Linked DNA regions of Saccharomyces cerevisiae S288C. Changing the gene in region 2 together with the main gene of any one other region gives a genetic interaction. Each region holds a gene or a part of one and is shown on either strand. Other genes may lie near its edges. The genes, in order: YAT1, HXT16, ARO3 and ATG26.

Region 1 (4,979 bases), on a different chromosome or scaffold from region 2:
TGGGTCGTCTAGCGGCTGGAATTGTTTCTTTAGGAGATCTTGTAGGTTGGGGAAACTTCCCTGGCGAAGGGCGTCGAGAAGTTTCAACTTCAGCAGCGGCTTACTGATGGCCACAGACGATAGATCAGGTTGTTCCATGGTGTGTGGAGGGGTGAAAGGTGTACTTTGATGTTTAAACTTTTCCCTTTTTATTTTTTTTTTTTTTGGCAGTTTAATTTAGTTTGAGTGCTTCTATTTATCCAAGTTTTGAGTTTCCTTTTTCCTTTTTTTTTCTTTTTTTCCTTTCCCTTTTTGGTGCACGTTCGCTCGGCGAGTAAAAGAGGTAATCCAAACGACGGGATGAGATTAAATTACAGTCGCTGCTATTATAGTAGCCAGCGGCGGCGCCAGTCACTTCCAAAGCGTTTTCCTCTTATTTAGTATATTTAATAGTATGTAGTAGTAGTAGTAGTAGTAGTAGTAGTAAAAATAATATTGATGCGCAAAAACTCAGCATAAACTCAACCGGACACGCTCACGTCGAAGTAATCGTAGCCGGACAACAGGTATTTCATGTCTTCTGATTTGGTGTTGGCGCTAGCAGTGGTCCTGGCAGCGGGTTTTGCTGCGCGAGCTTGCTGCCGTTTGAAGATGCGGTCGATCTCCAGCAGCGACTTTTCCATGAGCGACGCAAACCGAGCAGTCTGGCGATGCCTTGAGGACACCACCACAGAGACGGAGTGGTCTCTGATGATGTAGCCGATGCCGAAGCCGTTGGCGGTGACAGGCCCGAACCCGAAGCTCTTGAGGCAGGGGTTACCGCAGTTGGAGGTGCTCAAGACGTTGTTCTGCATGGTAGTCCAGGACTTGTCGCGGAAGATGGGTGGGAGCTCCAACTTGTCCTTGTACCATTGGTTCCAGAGGCAGTAGAGCGCATACAAGTGACGGTCCTGGCCGAGCCCCTGGGAGCATTCCCTTGTGATTTGCGAGTGCGCCGTACAGGCGTCGTGCAAGAGCTGAATTTTGGTGGCGTCCGAGGCATCCTGGTCCAGTAGTGACTTGACAAAGAGCTTCGATTGGCCCGTGACGGAGCGGATGGCCTCTGTGCGGCCGTTTTGGAACGCCTTGGTCATGGCAGGCTCGTACACGGTCTCGAAGCGACCGTACAACGCGAAGTATGCGACCTGGAACACCTGCTGCACGAAGGCGTCTGGCGAGCACTTGAACACTGTCTTGATATGGGACGCGCCGTAGTTGGAGAAGTCAAGATTAACAAACTCGTATTGCGAGATCAAGTCCGAGATGCGCGTCTCGGCAAAGTGCAGCGACGATTGCAGGAAATTGTCAGTGCGCCATTCCAGTTTACGAGGGATGGTGATCAAGTTGGCGGAGTGAGCCGCCGAGGCCAACGACGACGACGATGGTTTTCCATCGTCGTCGCTAAAGATGTCGACGACGTTCTTGGTGACACCGCGTGCGAAGCTCAGGATCGAGTCTGTGTAGATGTCTGTGGCGAGCCGCAGCACAGTGTGGCCGTCCACACCGGTGTGTTCGAAGTTGATGCCCGCCTTACCGTTCTTGGTCACGATCAGTTGTAACTTGTCGTACCAGCGGTTGAGACAGGTGCCTGTCTGCACGTTCAATGGCGGCTGGTGTTGGTGCGGGTCGAGATTGATGGTAGAAGTCCCGCACAGCATCGAACGCGTGAGCTCGTCCTGCTGATCGGCGGCAAACGCCACGTCGTCGAGACAGACCACGAACAGCGCGGAGTCGATCAGCTTGAGATTGCGCCAGTTGGTGCAGTCGTCCGCATGGAACAGATAGTCCCTGATGTTGGACCACACCCGGCGCGACTCTGTGGTGAACACGCCAAAGGGCGCGGATCCGCTTCCGGCGGATTCCGCGTCCATGATGATCGAGTAGAGGTTCCACTCCAGTTGTTCTGGGGTGGCGAAGATGGGCTCGTTGCGTGTGTCCAGCACGTCGAACCAGTAGAACTGGCCACGATACATCGCCACCACGTGATGCGACGTGGCGTCTGTTTGCAAGTGGCAAGAGGGCTCGCCGGGACCCGGAGGGATTCTACTGGAGCCGAATAGCCGCTCATACTGGTCCATCGACAGCGGCGTTTTGCCGCGCACAGTGTCTGTGCGGAGTGTGCCGTGGCGAATCTGGCGGATGAACTTGAGAATAGAGGTGGTGAGTCGTGCGGCACGACGAACCTGCACCGTGTGTGCGCCATAGGGGCCCTGTGCCGCCGTCTCTGGTGTGTCTTTGATGGTTGGGTCGTCCTGCAGTTGGAAGTACGGGTTGACGTTGAGAACGACAGTTGCATCATATAGCAAGTACGCGTCATACCAGAACTGCTCGATGTATGAGGACTCTGGGTTGCTTTCCGCGAGCCGTGCGTCGTATTCTAGCAGCCGCTCGTGCAGCGTGTTCAATGCGTCCAGGTTTTCTGCGGAGAGCACAGTGCGGCGCGTACGGCGGTTTTGGCGCTCGTCCTGCAGGGGTTCCACGCGTGCCAGGTAGCGGTTGAGCGTGTCCTGCAGTGGCGGGATGGGTAGTCTCTTTAAGTTTGGCATTGTATACGGAAAGGAGGGGTGGGCGGGTGTGGTTATTGTCGTGTGGTTATTGTCGTGGGTGTGCTTCTATGTTATGTGTGTCTTGTATATATATGCGCGTTCCAGTTGACGCTGATACAGCCCGCCGGGCGGACGGAAAGTCCGCGGGGATGACCGCGGACCGCCGGGCCGATGACTCTAGTGCTGATGCTGATGCTGATGTTGTGCTATATGCTTTTTTTTAGCCGCTGATGACATATAGAGTCCAGATGGGGAGTCCTTTCAATCATGCTTTTCCTTGCCCCTTTACTTTGGACTATGCACTCATGATTGCCATTGTGACTGGAGAGATCGTGACACTGCTGATGGTTTTGTCATTCCGCACGTCCTACGTTTAGAAAGTAACGATGCCAATCTTCATCACGGTAAAAGTAATACGGGGTGGGGTGTTACTGATGAGAATTGGGGGAATTTTGAGATAATTGTTGGGATTCCATTTTTAATAAGGCAATAATATTAGGTACGTAGATATACTAGAAGTTCTTCTCGAGGATTTAGGAATCCATAAAAGGGAATCTGCAATTCTACACAATTCTATAAATATTATTATCATCGTTTTATATGTTGATATTCATTGATCCTATTACATTATCAATCCTTGTATTTCAGCTTCCGTTGAAAACGATGACTATTTCTCATCATTTGCGTCATCTTCTAACACCGTATATGATAATATACTAGTAACGTAAACACTAGTTAGTAGATGATAGTTGATTTTTATTCCAACAGTTACGTAAACCGTTATCAAATAAATACGCTCAGATTCAATTCTGATTAATTTTCATTGGGGCTGATGCTTTCGCTGCAAGTTGTCATAGTATTATTTATTTATTAATACCTTAGATTTTCTTGACAATTAACCAATTTTTAATCATTAAACTTAATAATATTTAATGCTACTGTACTTTTTATTATTATTTATTATTAATTTATTTATTCGTTCATCTTGTATGTAATCGTCCTCCGTTCTTTTCCCTTTACCGCTGGCTTGCGCGCGATGATTTCCACTAAAAGCTTGCTTGGAAATCTCGATCACCGACATACGCCCTGAGAATGCTTATAGGAGCTATTGAGGCGAAAGAAGTGGAGGGAAAGTAATATCCCGAGAACGAAAACGCAAGGTTTATTGTCATGAAAATGCAAATGCACCGTTGACAAAACCAACCACACGATTATCACGACTACTACCATAATAGGTAGGCAATGAACCACTTTGTTCAGCAAATGGGTCCAACACGAATCGACTTTTCGAGGCTTCCTTCGGCCGTTTTCCGGCCAGTTAGTGCTGATTATATATCATACTCTAGTTTATGTTCGCTTTACGTATGGTAGTGTCTCTAAGCTATTCCGTCTTTTTAAGAAGCGCATCGATATTGGGATGCCGCCTTCGCCAGTAATTTTCCTGAGCTTGTCGTTCGATCTCCGCTGCCTTGAGCAAAAAGTTTTGATAATTCAGTCTGGAACTAGGAGAAGCTGACTCGATGGCATCTTCAGGCTTAGCGGTGACCGGAGAATTGCCAATTGACGTGGCTGTTTGCTTCTTGGGGGTTACTCCCTCAACAAGGCGTAGAAAATAACGGTAGCAATCCTCATCGCTGTAAAAGTAATACGGAGTATGCCATTGCCCATGATTAAACAAATATTGGTTCATGTTGTATGTGATGATCCTCCATTCTTTCCCTTCTACCGCCGGTTTACGTGTGATGACATCCACTAAAAGCTCGGTCCTAAAATTTCGACGACTGACTAGCTTTGGATTACCATCACTTAATATTATTAACAAACCTACAAGAGAAGTAAAAGCAAATATTGCAGAATTGAAAACACAAGCTTCGTTGTCATTAAAAAATATAATTAATAAAACCAAAACCCCTATTACCAGGGACAAAATCATGACTGGTGTATAGCGAGCGATTTCATAGATCCAATAACTCAAGTACGAACGGAATATGTCCTTAGGAAGAGCCACATTTTTCTCAATTAAATGTGCACTAGGTTCGTTAAGTGTATCTAACTTGACGTCGGTACTTTCTGGAGGGGTCTGCATAGCCAATATATACCTTGTATTGCCTATGACTATAGTATTCCTGGTTGTTTCTGTGCCACTGCATACTGATCAAATGTTTCAATTACGCAGGACCCTTTTACGATTGTTTTTCATCTCTAGAGGCATTTTCAACATCGTATTTTCCGAAGCGTTGCATAATGAAAATGTGATAATAAGGCAGTGAGCTACTTTGTCACAACAAAGTACGAGAACAGATGAGGTTCCGTGGTGTTTTTGGGGCAACCGCACTATTTGGAGCGCTGTATATATTTATATCCTACTACAAAAAATCATAAATGACACTGAATTGGACACATGCTAGCGTCAAA
Region 2 (4,641 bases):
CATTCAATGTATATCTTATCACACCAGTTTATCCAAAGATAGATGCAGTTTTGAAATTGGTTACTTAGAATATTTCTACTACATTTCGATAACAAATATAACTATTTTGAATTTAAAAGTTGAGTATCCAAAAATTTTAGAAATACATACAATTACTTCCCAATTACTTCCCAAATATTCTCCCCCCTGGTTTGATATCATAAAAGCACCTTATGGCAACAAGATTCCCGGGATAGTAATGCTATTTAAATGTATATCTATTTCTCGAATACTTGTATCTTTACTCCACTACCCCTATGCAAGAAGATACGCGATAGTTTTTGTTCCTTCCTCTTCCTACTCTGTTAATTAACTGAAAATTATTTATATTGAAAAGGTACTTGTAGCAAATTAGACAAGGAATTCTCCTGGTATAAAGTTAGAGAAACAGAAATATGAAACGGCCACCCCAGGTATGAAATATTATCTTAAGAAGAGCCATGAACACACATGAATAGATTCTTGAGACATGCTTAGGGTAACAAAGACTGTAACGCCTTGTTGCAATACTGCTTTATTCAAATTTTTAAATTGTACGGAATTGTGGTAAGGAGAATGTGCAAATAACTTAGCATGAAACGGTGCTATAGTTGAATCATTGTATGAGGTAACATCACTTCAACGAAAAGAAGAATAAAATTGACCTGCACATGGAGAAAGCGTAATATATAAAAAATGTTTACAATTTTGGCGCACTATATGGGAGAACAGCTGCTGGATAATATTATGCCCTTACTTCATTTCACCATATCCGTTTACAGTTCAAATCTCGCCGTCGAGCCATAAATTCTCAAAATTCCTTTGCAAATATTTTGCTTACCTGTAACCGGCAGCTTACATTCTTCCGTCATAATTTCTCAGACGGATGACATAAACCATTTTTTCAGAATCCTCGATAACATAATCGATCAAAACAGTAATAAACATTCTCTTGCACAAAATGGACTTTGGCAGCAAATCCTGAAATATTGTGGAGTATTGCCAGAGGTAAAAGCAACGTTGAACAAATTATGACACTAGACCTCTTAGGCATAAAGATGACATCATCTAGGTACTCGTAAAGATCCTAACCACAGATTCCACCTTAAAAGACGACAATAGTAACTTTGTCCTTGATCTGGGTTACTAAATCAGCGATATGATCATTAAAGTGAATATCCCCTTCTTAAAATGTACCAAATATCTTATACGTTTGCAGTTTTTCTTTTCCTTTTTCTTTATTTCTTTGGTAAGGACTAGGTAATTATTTCCGTATTTGGCTCCTTTGGCGCTTAAAAAATCTTGTACGCAAATTTCCACAAGATATTGCGTGACAATTACTATTACTGAAGTTGAACTTGTTTCATGTCTCCGCCTGTGTTAACTCCGTTTTGCTTAACTCCGTCTCGTATTACAGTAAATTCATGATGTGCCTATGAATATGCAGCTAGCCTGCTGCAGGCAAAATTATTTTTAGCTTTGTGCGCTACAGTGGTAGTAACTTAAAACTTAAAAGCTAAAATGCAAAAACAGTAGAGTGCGGGGTATGCTTTTCTTTTGAACGTGCACTGCGCAGAGGCACAATTTAGCAAAGAAGTCAGGCAAGGTAGATGATGTAAACAAACGAGGACTTGTACTGCGCATCTTGAACCTTTCAATATCATAAGTGCAATCAGCTAAAGGTTTGATTTTCCGAATGCTCTGCAAAAAAGTTAAACATGGTTATATAACTCAAGTATGATAACTCCAGTGTTGGCCTGTAATCACCAACTTTCAAACGTATAAAGAAAGTAAGTAATTCATTGTTTGCTTCAGGTTTAGTCTTATTACTATCCATAGAAGTAAAACTATTGATATTATTGACAGAAAAGGAGGAAAGGAAACTAAAGGAAAAAAATGGCAAGCGAACAGTCCTCACCAGAAATTAATGCAGATAATCTAAACAGTAGTGCAGCTGACGTTCATGTACAGCCACCCGGAGAGAAAGAATGGTCAGACGGGTTTTATGACAAAGAAGTCATTAATGGAAATACGCCAGACGCACCGAAGAGAGGCTTTTTAGGTTACCTTATTATCTACTTACTATGCTATCCTGTATCCTTTGGCGGTTTTTTACCTGGTTGGGATAGTGGTATTACTGCAGGCTTCATCAATATGGATAACTTTAAAATGAATTTTGGTTCTTACAAGCACAGTACTGGTGAGTATTATTTGAGCAACGTGCGTATGGGTCTTCTCGTGGCCATGTTCAGTGTAGGATGTTCCATTGGCGGTGTTGCTTTTGCGAGACTTGCTGATACTTTAGGTAGAAGGCTAGCAATTGTAATCGTGGTTTTGGTATATATGGTTGGTGCAATTATTCAGATCAGTTCGAATCACAAATGGTACCAATACTTTGTCGGTAAGATCATCTACGGTCTTGGTGCTGGTGGCTGTTCGGTGTTGTGTCCAATGCTTTTATCTGAAATAGCCCCCACAGATTTGAGAGGTGGACTTGTCTCATTGTACCAACTTAACATGACCTTCGGTATTTTCTTGGGTTATTGTAGCGTTTATGGAACAAGGAAGTATAGTAATACTGCGCAATGGAGGATTCCTGTGGGACTATGCTTTCTGTGGGCTCTAATTATCATCGTTGGCATGTTATTAGTTCCAGAGTCCCCAAGATATCTGATTGAATGTGAGAGACATGAAGAGGCCTGTGTCTCCATCGCCAAGATCGACAAGGTTTCACCAGAGGATCCATGGGTACTCAAACAGGCTGATGAAATCAACGCCGGTGTCCTTGCCCAAAGAGAACTAGGGGAAGCCTCATGGAAAGAACTTTTCTCCGTCAAAACAAAAGTCCTTCAACGTTTGATCACAGGTATTCTTGTGCAAACCTTTTTGCAACTTACTGGTGAAAACTACTTCTTCTTCTACGGAACTACCATTTTCAAATCAGTTGGGCTTACTGATGGGTTTGAGACTTCGATCGTCCTAGGTACAGTGAATTTCTTCTCCACTATTATTGCTGTTATGGTCGTAGACAAAATAGGCCGTCGTAAATGTCTGTTATTCGGAGCGGCTTCAATGATGGCTTGTATGGTCATATTTGCAAGTATCGGGGTAAAATGTCTTTACCCTCATGGCCAGGATGGTCCATCCTCGAAAGGTGCAGGTAATGCCATGATTGTGTTCACATGCTTCTATATATTCTGCTTTGCAACGACATGGGCCCCTGTTGCTTATATTGTGGTTGCCGAGTCATTCCCTTCGAAGGTCAAATCTAAAGCAATGTCAATTTCGACTGCATTCAACTGGTTATGGCAATTCTTGATTGGTTTTTTCACACCATTCATTACTGGGTCTATCCACTTCTATTATGGTTATGTGTTCGTAGGTTGTTTGGTTGCTATGTTTTTGTACGTTTTCTTCTTTTTACCAGAAACAATTGGTCTATCTTTGGAGGAAACCCAGTTACTATATGAAGAAGGTATAAAACCATGGAAATCTGCATCTTGGGTACCACCCTCAAGGAGAGGAGCTTCTTCCAGGGAAACTGAGGCTAAGAAGAAAAGCTGGAAAGAAGTTTTGAAGTTCCCAAAGAGTTTTAATTGATCAATATGCGCGCTTGATAAACATGCTAAGAGATAAATTCTTGAAAAAAAATAGGGCCTACTGTAAAACGAAGTGACACGTAATTTCAAATTTAATCAACAAAAAACTACGAGTTTCTTTGCAAACTCCCTTTTTCGGACTACTAGTACTATATAAAATAACGAGTTATTTAGTGAAAGAAAGCGTTTGGTTAAGGCAACATTGTACGAAGTTCTGTTTCTTTAAGGCAAAGCAGAGTATAAAAAGTAGGATGCTTATGGAGTGAAAACGGAGTGGTGATGAAGATGGGGAAGTCAACATAGGTCCACTTGAGTGCTTATGGAAGATCCTTAAAAATGCATTTCCAGGAACGTAACACTGTACCATTCCTCTAAATAAAGTGTATACAATAATATAGAAATATAGATTCTTCCCAAATATTCAGTTGTTACTATAAAGGGAATATTTGAGCTCGTTATTAGCGTGGCCGCACAAACAACCATCATATTAGAAGAGATAACTTTGTTTCAACTCGGGGGGGCAAACTTTCTCATGCTTCGTTAACTTGGCAAATACAACAAGCATACTTTTTGCGGTGAAAACATTTTGAGGCATGTTTCCACACAACATAATAGCGAATGGAGTAAGATTTTTTTTGTAGTACAGTAAAAAGACCTCATATAGGTACCCGTACAAAGTCTCTGACCTCTCTGGGTGACCTGGGTCATTAGTAGTTCAAGGAGCATCTGCCACTAAAAGATTTGTGACCTAACTGTGGTAGTAACCGTTAAAGACACGGTATTGAAACAATGGGTTCAAAACAGTCGAGGGTTTTAGCATTTAAGTCGGCATATGTCCATTTCTATCCTTTTTCCAAGTCTATTGAGTTTCTTTATCTTTTTACTTATTTCCTTTTTGAAAGGTCTTACGACAAAGTTCAAAGCTTGATGAATTGTCTATTACTTTATTTGCTAAATTGAAACTCTGGATGAGTACCAATTCTTCTTTTCATTTTGCGATAATTGACATTATGATTTTTCAACT
Region 3 (3,779 bases), on a different chromosome or scaffold from region 2:
CCAAGTAATGTTTTTTTTTTTTTTTTTTTTTTTAGCTCCTCTCACAAAAGTACTGAGGACTGAAATGTAAAAACTAATAACACAATAGAAATAATCATATGATGATATAGAAAAGAAGAGAGGAGACAATCATAATATTATACGAACTCATGGCTTTCCTTATGGGAAATTCTACATTCTCGATAGTGACCCTGGTATATTCAATATACTTAGGAATAACTGTCTTTCATAACAATGGCGGCCATACGATTACCGTATTATCCACCTATTCTTGATATTAAACTGGAAATTCTGTGAATTTTGTGATAATTGTTGGAATTCCATTGTTAATAAAGGCTATAATATTAGGTATACAGGGTTTACTAGAAGTTCTCATCGAGGATTTAGGAATCCTCAAAATGGAATCTATATTTCTACATGCTAATGTTACGATTATTCCTCATTTCGTTTTATATGTTTCATTATCCTATTACATTATCAATCCTTGCATTTCAGCTTCCTCTAACTTCGAAGCTTTCCATAACTTCTGTCATCATCTAATACCGTATATGATAATATATTGATAGTATGACCACTAGTTGATACACTGTTGGAATAAAAACCAACTATCATCTACTAACTAGTATTTATGTTACTAGTATATTATCATATACGGTGTTAGAAGATGACACAAATGATGAGAAATAGTCATCTAAATTAGTGGAAACTGAAACGCAAGGATTGATAATGTAATAGGATAATGAAACATATAAAACTGAATGAGGAATGATCGTAATATTAGCATGTAGAAATATAGATTCCATTATGGGGATTCCTATATCCTGGAGGAGAACTTCTAGTATATCTACATACCTAATATTATTGCCTTATTAAAAATGGAATCCCAACAATTACATCAGAATCCGCACAATTATCATAGATGATAATGGATTTTTATTCCAACAATCAGCATGCCTTTTGTATTTCTGTAAAGAAGAGTAAACCATAACCTAAGTCAATATCAAATTTAGGATTGATGAATTTTCTACTCAAAATGCTTTGTTCAAGAAGGTACGAAAGAAGGTTCCAATCGTCCATTTTAGGGTCCTATAGTGTAGTGGTTATCACTTTCGGTTTTGATCCGGACAACCCCGGTTCGAATCCGGGTAGGACCTTTTCTATTTTTTAACCCTCTTGTTTTATTTTTCTTTCTTGGCTTTGAATTGCACAGCCCCTCGCATTTTTTTTCGATACCCTGAAAAAAGGAAAAAGGCGAAGAAATAAGGGCAATTTCTATTTAAAAATTATACAAGCTCGATTTTTCATTTTCTCCTTCCCCTCTCGCCCCTCCCAGTTTTCAACTGTATTTAAATGTTTCTCAGTTATGTTGTGAATTAAAATAATCCTAATTGTCAACTAAAAAAGTCTAAGTTAGCAATACCAAAATGAGGCATCATCAAAATATGCATTATGCCCCACAACAACAACCAGTCTATGTCCAACAGCCTCCTCCTCGGAGAGAATCCGGTGGTTGCTGTAGAACCTGTTGTCACTTCCTATGTTGTCTATGTTTAATTAACCTATGTTGTGACGTTTTTTAATTCTAATCGACAGCTAAAAATTAGTATGGAAAGAACATCATATTTAGCCGCTGAAAAAAAAGAAGCAGCTGCGTATCTTCTCAAATTTATGCGTACATAGTGACATATATTTAAAAGCTTCCTCACTTTCCTTTTTTATATTTTTTCATTGCTCAAGTATTAGTCACATCGGAAAGTATGCTTGCTGCATTAAATACATGCATGTGTTTATAAGTGTTTGCATTTTCTCTCTCTTCTTTTTTTTCTTCCTGTTACTTGTATACGAACGACATATTTATTTTCACTATTTCTCATTTATATTTATAGCTACTACCCCTATTACGTTACAAGAACACTTTATAGCATTATGTTCATTAAAAACGATCACGCCGGTGACAGGAAACGCTTGGAAGACTGGAGAATCAAAGGTTATGATCCATTAACCCCTCCAGATCTGCTTCAACATGAATTTCCAATTTCAGCCAAAGGTGAGGAAAACATTATCAAGGCAAGAGACTCCGTCTGTGATATTTTGAATGGTAAAGATGATCGTTTAGTTATCGTGATCGGGCCATGTTCCCTACATGACCCCAAAGCCGCTTACGATTACGCTGACAGATTGGCTAAAATTTCAGAAAAGTTGTCAAAAGACTTATTGATTATTATGAGAGCGTATTTAGAAAAACCAAGGACTACTGTTGGCTGGAAAGGGTTGATTAACGACCCTGATATGAATAACTCTTTTCAAATCAATAAAGGTCTACGGATTTCGAGAGAAATGTTCATAAAACTGGTTGAAAAATTACCCATTGCTGGTGAGATGTTGGATACCATTTCTCCGCAGTTTTTGAGTGATTGTTTCTCCTTGGGTGCCATCGGCGCCAGAACTACTGAATCCCAACTGCACAGAGAATTAGCATCCGGTCTATCTTTCCCTATTGGATTTAAGAACGGTACTGATGGTGGTTTGCAAGTCGCCATCGACGCTATGAGAGCCGCTGCACATGAACATTACTTCCTTTCTGTCACAAAGCCAGGTGTCACTGCTATCGTGGGCACTGAAGGTAACAAGGATACCTTCCTGATCTTGAGAGGTGGTAAGAACGGTACTAACTTTGACAAAGAAAGTGTTCAAAATACTAAGAAACAGTTAGAAAAGGCCGGTTTGACTGATGATTCCCAGAAAAGAATTATGATCGATTGTTCCCACGGCAACAGTAATAAAGATTTCAAGAACCAACCAAAGGTTGCCAAATGTATTTATGACCAGCTGACGGAGGGTGAGAATAGTCTCTGTGGTGTTATGATTGAGTCCAACATAAATGAAGGTAGACAAGATATTCCCAAAGAAGGTGGCAGAGAGGGATTGAAGTATGGTTGTTCTGTTACGGATGCTTGTATTGGCTGGGAGTCCACCGAACAGGTATTGGAGCTATTGGCAGAAGGTGTTAGAAACAGAAGAAAGGCCTTGAAAAAATAGCCTGTAAATGAGGGAAAAATGCAAATAATCTTGAATGATACTCAAAACTTTTGATTTATTGTAATTTCTTTCTGAACCATATTTATTACATTCAAACTTTTTTTTTTTTGCCTTTTATAAAAAAAAATACTTATAAGAAAAGAGAAAGAAAATGACAGTTTTCTATGTATCATTAAATAAACATCCATATACAAATATAGCGTTATGTTTTACTTTTATTATTTACATGCATAGAAGTGTTGGCAAAATTCTTTACGAGCCACGGGGCTGCTATTTCAGGTTTTATTTCCATCTTAAGCCATCGTTAACTTCTTCACATTTTCTTTCACAAACAATTTTACATAGCGATTGGATACCCAGTTTCCCTCTTCTAGAAGGAATCACATTGGCAAAGTGATTTAGTACTTCTCTTTCGGTAACTTTGGCGCCAGTGTCATCATTCGTTCTCTTTTCAATATACGCAGCGATTTCCTGTTCTGTAGGCAATTGGTATTTAGAATGGTAGGGATATTGAGTCCAAGTAACATTCGAGGTATTTCTTAGTAATGACATTGGTAGCGATGGTTTAGGAGATGTGATAGATGTCAACTGAGATACAAATAACTGTTCCTTCTTTGTCCATGGATACGGGACCCTTTGTTTATCAATAAGTTTATGCTTTGTGGCTTCAGAGAATTCCACCAAAGAGTCCTGGTTCATGCACATGTTAGCTGCTGTGTATAAGTCTCTTTTGATAGCAG
Region 4 (6,442 bases), on a different chromosome or scaffold from region 2:
AAATAGTTGCCAAAAATCTTCAGAGACGTGTGGAAAGGGGGTTCACTACTATATCAATTGCACATAGGCTTTCGACGATCAAACACAGTACTAGGGTGATTGTGTTAGGAAAACATGGCTCAGTGGTTGAAACCGGTTCATTCCGAGATCTAATCGCCATTCCTAATAGTGAACTAAATGCGCTGCTTGCCGAACAGCAGGACGAGGAAGGAAAAGGGGGAGTGATAGATTTGGACAATAGTGTTGCCCGGGAAGTATAAGAAGTTGCCGCAGTATGGAATCACTTTTCTATGCCACAGTTATGGTATGTGTTGGAAGACAATTAATTATCGCATTATGTTTGCTGAATATGAAATTGTGTATTCTATAATTTAAATGATGCCCAATGTAATTTACACAAACAGTTTTTTTTTAAAGCTCCTTGTACGCCTTTATACACATTAAATTAATATTAGATGCACAACATACGGTACGTTTAGGAAACTCAAATTAAGCTTTATTTTTTTACTTTTTTATTATTGTTACTATTATTCTTATTATCAACATTATCGTTTTCATATCTTTCCTGAGTACAAATATGACTGAAACTTACAAAAAAAAAATTAATTATTTATTACTATTAATGATTAGATGTTACGCTTTTTTATAAAAGTGAGAGTGATACTCGGTTTAAATCATCGTCCACCCTTCATCCGTTGTTTCAGCAGGTGTCAGTTTGGTTGCATCTACATTTTCCTCTTTCTTGCGCGGAGTTTTCACTCTTGATAAAGTAACGCTTCTTGCATACTCAAGTTCGTTGTAAATTGCACTTATTGCAGTTTTAATCCCATCTTCTTTGGAAATTTTCTTCTTTATTAATCCAGCTCTATCCTTCATTATTTTGTTCGTCGTAGCTACTTTTAAAGCATCTGCTAATGTTTGAGCGTTAAGTTTCTTTAAAGCAATACCAACTCCAATGTCTTCTACTCTACCTGCATAAAAGAACTGATCACCAAAGAAAGGTTTTATAACAGTAGGTAAACCAGCACGTAATGAAGCTCCAGTAGTTCCAGAACCACCATGGTGAACGGCAGCATCGACTTGTGGGAACAACCAATCATGGGGAACGTTTCCGATATTTAAAATGTTTCTTGGAAGATCTACCTCTGTCTTCTTTGCCGCCTTATCGCCCAACCTTTCTGACCATCCCTTATTTAAAATGCAGTATACATCTGCTTCCATAACTGCTTCGACAAGAGCTTCCGTCATTTCTTTGGCATTAGAGACTACAATCGAACCAAACCCGATATAAACCAATTTTTTTCCTTTTGATCTTGCCTCAGAAATAAATTCTTGTAATTCTGCTGGCGGTTTGAAAGTACTCTTATCATCAAGAAACCAATATCCTGTAACTCTCACCCACTCGCTAAAATCAATTGATGGCGGAAAAATTGTAGGAGAAACATTGTATAAGAAAGGAACATTATTCTGCTGTAAAAGAAAAAGATTTGTTTTCCCTAAACCTAGAGTTTCAACTCTCCACTTGTTTACTTGCCCACTAATTCCCTTCCAGAAAACGTTTTCGAAAAGGACATGTGTCAGGTAGTTATAGTTACCGCCCCTTTTTTGATCTGGTACAATAAATGCATGTGGATATGCTCTTGTTCTTGTCCATGGCATGGTAAATGCTCGAAAATAAGGAATTTGCAATGCTTCAGTAATATGAATACCAACCATAGCTGAGGGTGATTCAATCAGAATATCAAATTTTCTTCTGTTACAAACCTCCCAAGATGTCTGTAAAAGAGCATCGATCCATCCCCTAAATTTGCTCGAAGCTTCTCTCAGCATTTTAACATTCATTGATTCATTTTCCACCATCAAGGACATCAACTCCACTGGGTTACCAGCAATCTCTTCAAACTGGATTCCATGACTTTCAACAAAGTCTCTAAATTCCGAATGTGTAATTATTACCACTTGGTGACCTTCTTTTATCAAGCCCTTTCCAAGTGCAATATATGGTTGAACATCCCCTCTTGAGCCAATCGTCAATAATCCAAACTTATAACTCTTGTTTGGTTTTATGCTTGTTTTATAGTGCGGATTCTCATCAATCATTAACGGTACCTCAAAGCCCTCGGCATTAATTTTATCTTCGAAAAGCTTCAACTTCGCTGAGTCAGGGTTATGCTGAACATCGCCAAGAGAAGCACTCGATATATTCGATCCTTCTGCACTGCTTGCATATATGTTATCTAAGAGCTTTAAAAGAATGCGTTCAATATCATCCCTGGCGACCTCAGTGCTAAATTCAAAAAATAGCTCCTCGTGACCGTGAATTACTATAACCAATACAAAATAACCAAATCGAAATCCCTTTTCTTTATAGCATGTCTCCACATCAACCAATGGCAAAACCATGTATGTATTAGACCCTGGTAATAACGATCTGAAGCACACCGTATCATTGGATACGTAAATCTTACCATAAACGGGAACATTTCTATTCAGGTATGTGTAGTAAGTACTGATTAGTGACTTCTCTTTATTAAACTTGAAATGGTACCTGAACCGCTCGTTAGCAGAAACCTCTTCTGTTTCTTTAATCAAATAGGTATCATCCTTTTGAAACGGGATAAACTTGTTCCGGTAGTGTATTGGTTTGGCAGCCCACATTTCGGCAAAATTTTTGAGGTGACTTGGCTTCCAAGCTACGGTTTGCTCTTGACTATCTTCTTGTTCATGAATATGAATCGTGGAATGCACAGAAGAGTCTATATCATTCGCCGCATCTTTATATATTTCCTCCACATCCTCAACTTGAGAATCTTCAAGAGGTTTAGCTCTACGAAACCAACTATTGCTTCTTTCTCTAAATCTGAATCGACTCTTTTTCCCATTTTCCGAAGAAGGCACAGCCGAAGTTGGAACATTCAAATATTTTGAATCCTCGCCGTTATTCTTTTGCTCAACTGTAGCTGGTGTCTCTTTTCCAAAACTTGATTTTGATTTCTTGGCTGGAATATCATAATAAAGTGTATTAACACCGGATTTCTGCAATATAGCCAACTGTTCGCCAAGGCTCTCTTTGACCTGACTACCGGACCCATCCATGAAAACAAACATGAAATCATCGATAGCATAGGTCTGTGAGCTCTCCAAAGCTCTTAATCTCAATGTTAAAGCTTTGTTGACTATAGGTTGATCATCTATCTCTATAATGTTGGGCAGCGGAATTTTTAAACTTATCGAATTGTTTTCAGAATTCTGAGCTGCGAACTGCTCCTTTTTCAAAGCGTTCACCCACGATTTAGCGGAGAACTCTGAATCTGCATTGAATTTGAATGTACTTTCATCTGTGTAAAGCTTAAATGTTTTCGTAGCACTCCCGTTTAAGGTATGTTTTTGTGTTTCAATTTTTTGGACCTCCCTCAAATCTATGGTTAAAACCGGAAAGTATAGCTCAGTTGATGAGGTATACATAGAAAATAAATGATTCTTTAGTACGCACCAATACCTGGTAGACCTAATTAGTTTTGTCCTGATATTAAGGTTTCCAGACATTTTAACCGACCGAGGATTCTTAGGTAAATATGCAAAGAATAGGAAATGTTTTGTTGTAATAAAAATATGGCCTTGAACCAACACATCTTTAAGTAGCCATGCAGGGAAATCATTCAAAAATGGTTCCTGTTCGTCTAAACAAAACCGCTGTCTCAACTTAGCCACATTGTCTTTTGACAGTTTTTCCCTAGTTATTGAGAAGTCGAATAAAGTTGGCTTTCTTTTGTCTAATCTTGGTACTTCCGGATGCGATTTAGTTTTGAGATTTTCCTTTTTGCTTTTTACCTCATTTCGACCAATGTTTTCCTGGAAACTATCACTGGAATCAGATTCTTCAGAATCAACTTGCGACAACACATTCATTTCTTGAGCATTATTCATCCCTGCATACACACTAGCAGTAGTTAATAAACCGGCAATACTTTTCATCATATACTTGGATTTCGCCAAGTCATCTGCATTATCGTTATTGTAACCGTTTTCGTCATCATCACTACGGGCTTCATTTGGACTGTCCTGCAGTTCTTGCTGCTCAGACGACCCCATCGATAAACTGCTATTTGATCTTCCTCTCCAGCGCTTGAACTTCGAAAGTGACCTTGAAAGGCGATGATGCCTAGGGGAAGTTTCTGGCTCAGATGGCTTATCAGGTACCAACGAAATGCTTGGTTTTGGCCCCGCCTCGCTATCAGACGCTGATATGATTTGAGTGATGGGCATTCTTTTAAGTTATACGGATTTTCACCAAAGCATAAAGTGCAACTGAACTTCTGATGTTTACTTTTTGACAGCCATGACTTTATCAGTGATAAATGCAATGACTTTCCGATCTACTCCTTCTGTTGACTTTTAGTCCCTTTTTTCTTAGATGTTATGTTACAGTCACATCAGGGTTAAGTTTTTCCAAGTCATCTCAAAACAATGACCTATTTTATTTCTAGATAAACCCTGGTGTAAGCAGGGTTAATTTTGTCCCAAACGGGCAAAATATAAATACCCCTTTCGGGAAATAAACTAAAAAGAGTTCTAATTAGCCAATTGGCAAGAAAGCTCGATGAAGAATCATTATGGGTTTAGAAATCAGATTTCCTTACTTTACAAGTTCTCTCACGCAAGCTTGATCGTTTTTAAATTTTCTACGTTCATTCAAGACAAAGTGGTTACAGATAGAAGTTTTTCTCACATTTAGATTATTTTTTCCTGATAGTATTAAATAACACGTACGATCAACAAATTGTTGCTCAGTTTAAGTGAGCCTAGAGAATTAAGCTTTATTACTGCTGTATTTTCTGTTATTTTGATTGCCTTGGGAATAAAGGAAAGGTTTGGAGGGGCACATCTTCCTAAATAGCAGTAAGGAAAAAGAATCGCGTGTGAAGTCTTTTAAATCAACATAGTTATCCTCGGTTCCAACTATTTTACTTTCGTTTCAATTCCGTTGTTCTTAACTAATCTTCTTTTCTTTTAACTTGTTACAAGCCAGTACTCATTGCAAAATCAAAAAAAAAAAACACAACTAATAAACTAAACAACTAAAAAAATGAATTCTCCAACAATGAAATCGGAACAACTTACTCCAAAACTCTCACCAATGTCCTTTTGTTTGGATGACCAAAGAAATGCAGGCTCTTTTCAAAATCTATTGAACTCACCTACGAAGCTAAAATTAGACACTGGCCCGATTGGTAATTCCTTGTTATATCCAACATCACTCTCTAAATTGAGCGAGTTATCAAGAGGTGGACGTTCTAAACAAAGAAGGGGCTCTGACACTATGAGGTCTGTATCGCCTATTAGGTTTCAGTTTTTGAACAACACTCCAAAGATGTTAAAACCCGAGTACCTATCTCAAACAACCAGTAATCTGCCATTGCTATCTGCCCTATTGAAGAATAGCAAGAAAACTACTAGTGAAGGCCAGAATTCAAACCCTGATCCATTGAACATAGAGAAAAACATCATTAAACAAAGCATCAAGGACAAACTAGAGCAGCTGCGCAGTTCAGAATCCGTTGCGCAAGTACAAAAGAAAGAACGCAATCCCCCTTCATTTGAGGCCAAAGTCTGTGCGGAAGAACCGATATTACGGAAAAACGCCGAAGGGTTGCTCCCCTCATACGTTCCTGTTCCTGCTACTCCTTTGGAAGATCCAGAAAATCATGGGGTGCGAAAGGTCGAGGACAAAGGACTTAGAGTCGTCTCCGGCGGCTCCACTCAGTGTCTAAGCACCGAAGTGAACGAATTGCCTAAGGATCTGAATCTAGACAATTTACCTACGGATAATAACGGGTTCGTTCAATATGGTCTCAAAGGCAATAACAACAACAACAGATATAGCTTTATCTCGTCTACGTCGACGGACTATGAGCCCGAATGGTGTGACGGACAACAACATATTTCAATGCAAATGGCCTCTATGGCCAATGCAGAGGAGGCAAATAGTCGTGAAAAATCGAATTTAGACATAAAGATCAAGCAGCTAGAACTTGAAATTACAGAATTAAAGTTGCAGAATGAAAAATTAGTGCATTCCATGACGACGAACAGATACATTGAAGAAAGATTTATGCTTGAGGTTATGAAGGATCCTAGTATACAGGCTCAAAGATCCCAAAGAGATATTGAGAGAAAAGTCAAGCAACTGGAGAAAAAATTCTTCAATTGTAAAAAAGTTCTTAAGAAATTGACTGAATCCTCCGCAGTAGTGGCCACCTCCACTTCAAAAACTGAAGGAAATTCAGCAAGAATCCCATGCCCTAAGACTAGACTGGCACGCGTTTCTGTTTTAGACCTAAAGAAAATTGAAGAACAGCCAGATTCTTCTTCGGGAACTTCGTCCGAGGAAGATCATCTAACAAACGATGATACGGATGCTAATACTAGCGAAGATTTAAAT

The links.
Region 1: mutations in HXT16 (region 2) and YAT1 together harm fitness less than expected from each alone (positive genetic interaction), as found in Saccharomyces cerevisiae (one large-scale study listed by BioGRID).
Region 3: mutations in HXT16 (region 2) and ARO3 together harm fitness less than expected from each alone (positive genetic interaction), as found in Saccharomyces cerevisiae (one large-scale study listed by BioGRID).
Region 4: mutations in HXT16 (region 2) and ATG26 together harm fitness more than expected from each alone (negative genetic interaction), as found in Saccharomyces cerevisiae (one large-scale study listed by BioGRID).

The regions. Positions count from the first base shown.
Region 1 is NC_001133.9:187,778-192,756, reverse strand, and holds YAT1 (carnitine O-acetyltransferase YAT1), read right to left. Parts: upstream 2,565-4,979; coding exon 501-2,564; downstream 1-500. Other genes in the region: oxysterol-binding protein related protein SWH1, read right to left, coding at 1-138; YAR035C-A (uncharacterized protein), read left to right, coding at 340-420; DUP240 family protein MST28, read right to left, coding at 3,946-4,650. UniProt on the Saccharomyces cerevisiae protein: Involved in the transfer of acetyl-CoA into mitochondria. May also be involved in the metabolism of acetate and of ethanol.
Region 2 is NC_001142.9:730,526-735,166, forward strand, and holds HXT16 (hexose transporter HXT16), read left to right. Parts: upstream 1-1,914; coding exon 1,915-3,618; downstream 3,619-4,641. UniProt on the Saccharomyces cerevisiae protein: Probable glucose transporter.
Region 3 is NC_001136.10:519,890-523,668, forward strand, and holds ARO3 (3-deoxy-7-phosphoheptulonate synthase ARO3), read left to right. Parts: upstream 1-1,926; coding exon 1,927-3,039; downstream 3,040-3,779. Other genes in the region: YDR034C-A (uncharacterized protein), read right to left, coding at 627-803; cysteine-rich palmitoylated domain-containing protein CPP3, read left to right, coding at 1,425-1,580; mitochondrial 37S ribosomal protein mS47 EHD3, read right to left, coding at 3,322-3,779. UniProt on the Saccharomyces cerevisiae protein: Stereospecific condensation of phosphoenolpyruvate (PEP) and D-erythrose-4-phosphate (E4P) giving rise to 3-deoxy-D-arabino-heptulosonate-7-phosphate (DAHP).
Region 4 is NC_001144.5:530,128-536,569, forward strand, and holds ATG26 (sterol 3-beta-glucosyltransferase), read right to left. Parts: upstream 4,267-6,442; coding exon 670-4,266; downstream 1-669. Other genes in the region: ATP-binding cassette permease MDL1, read left to right, coding at 1-260; MMR1 (Mmr1p), read left to right, coding at 5,087-6,442.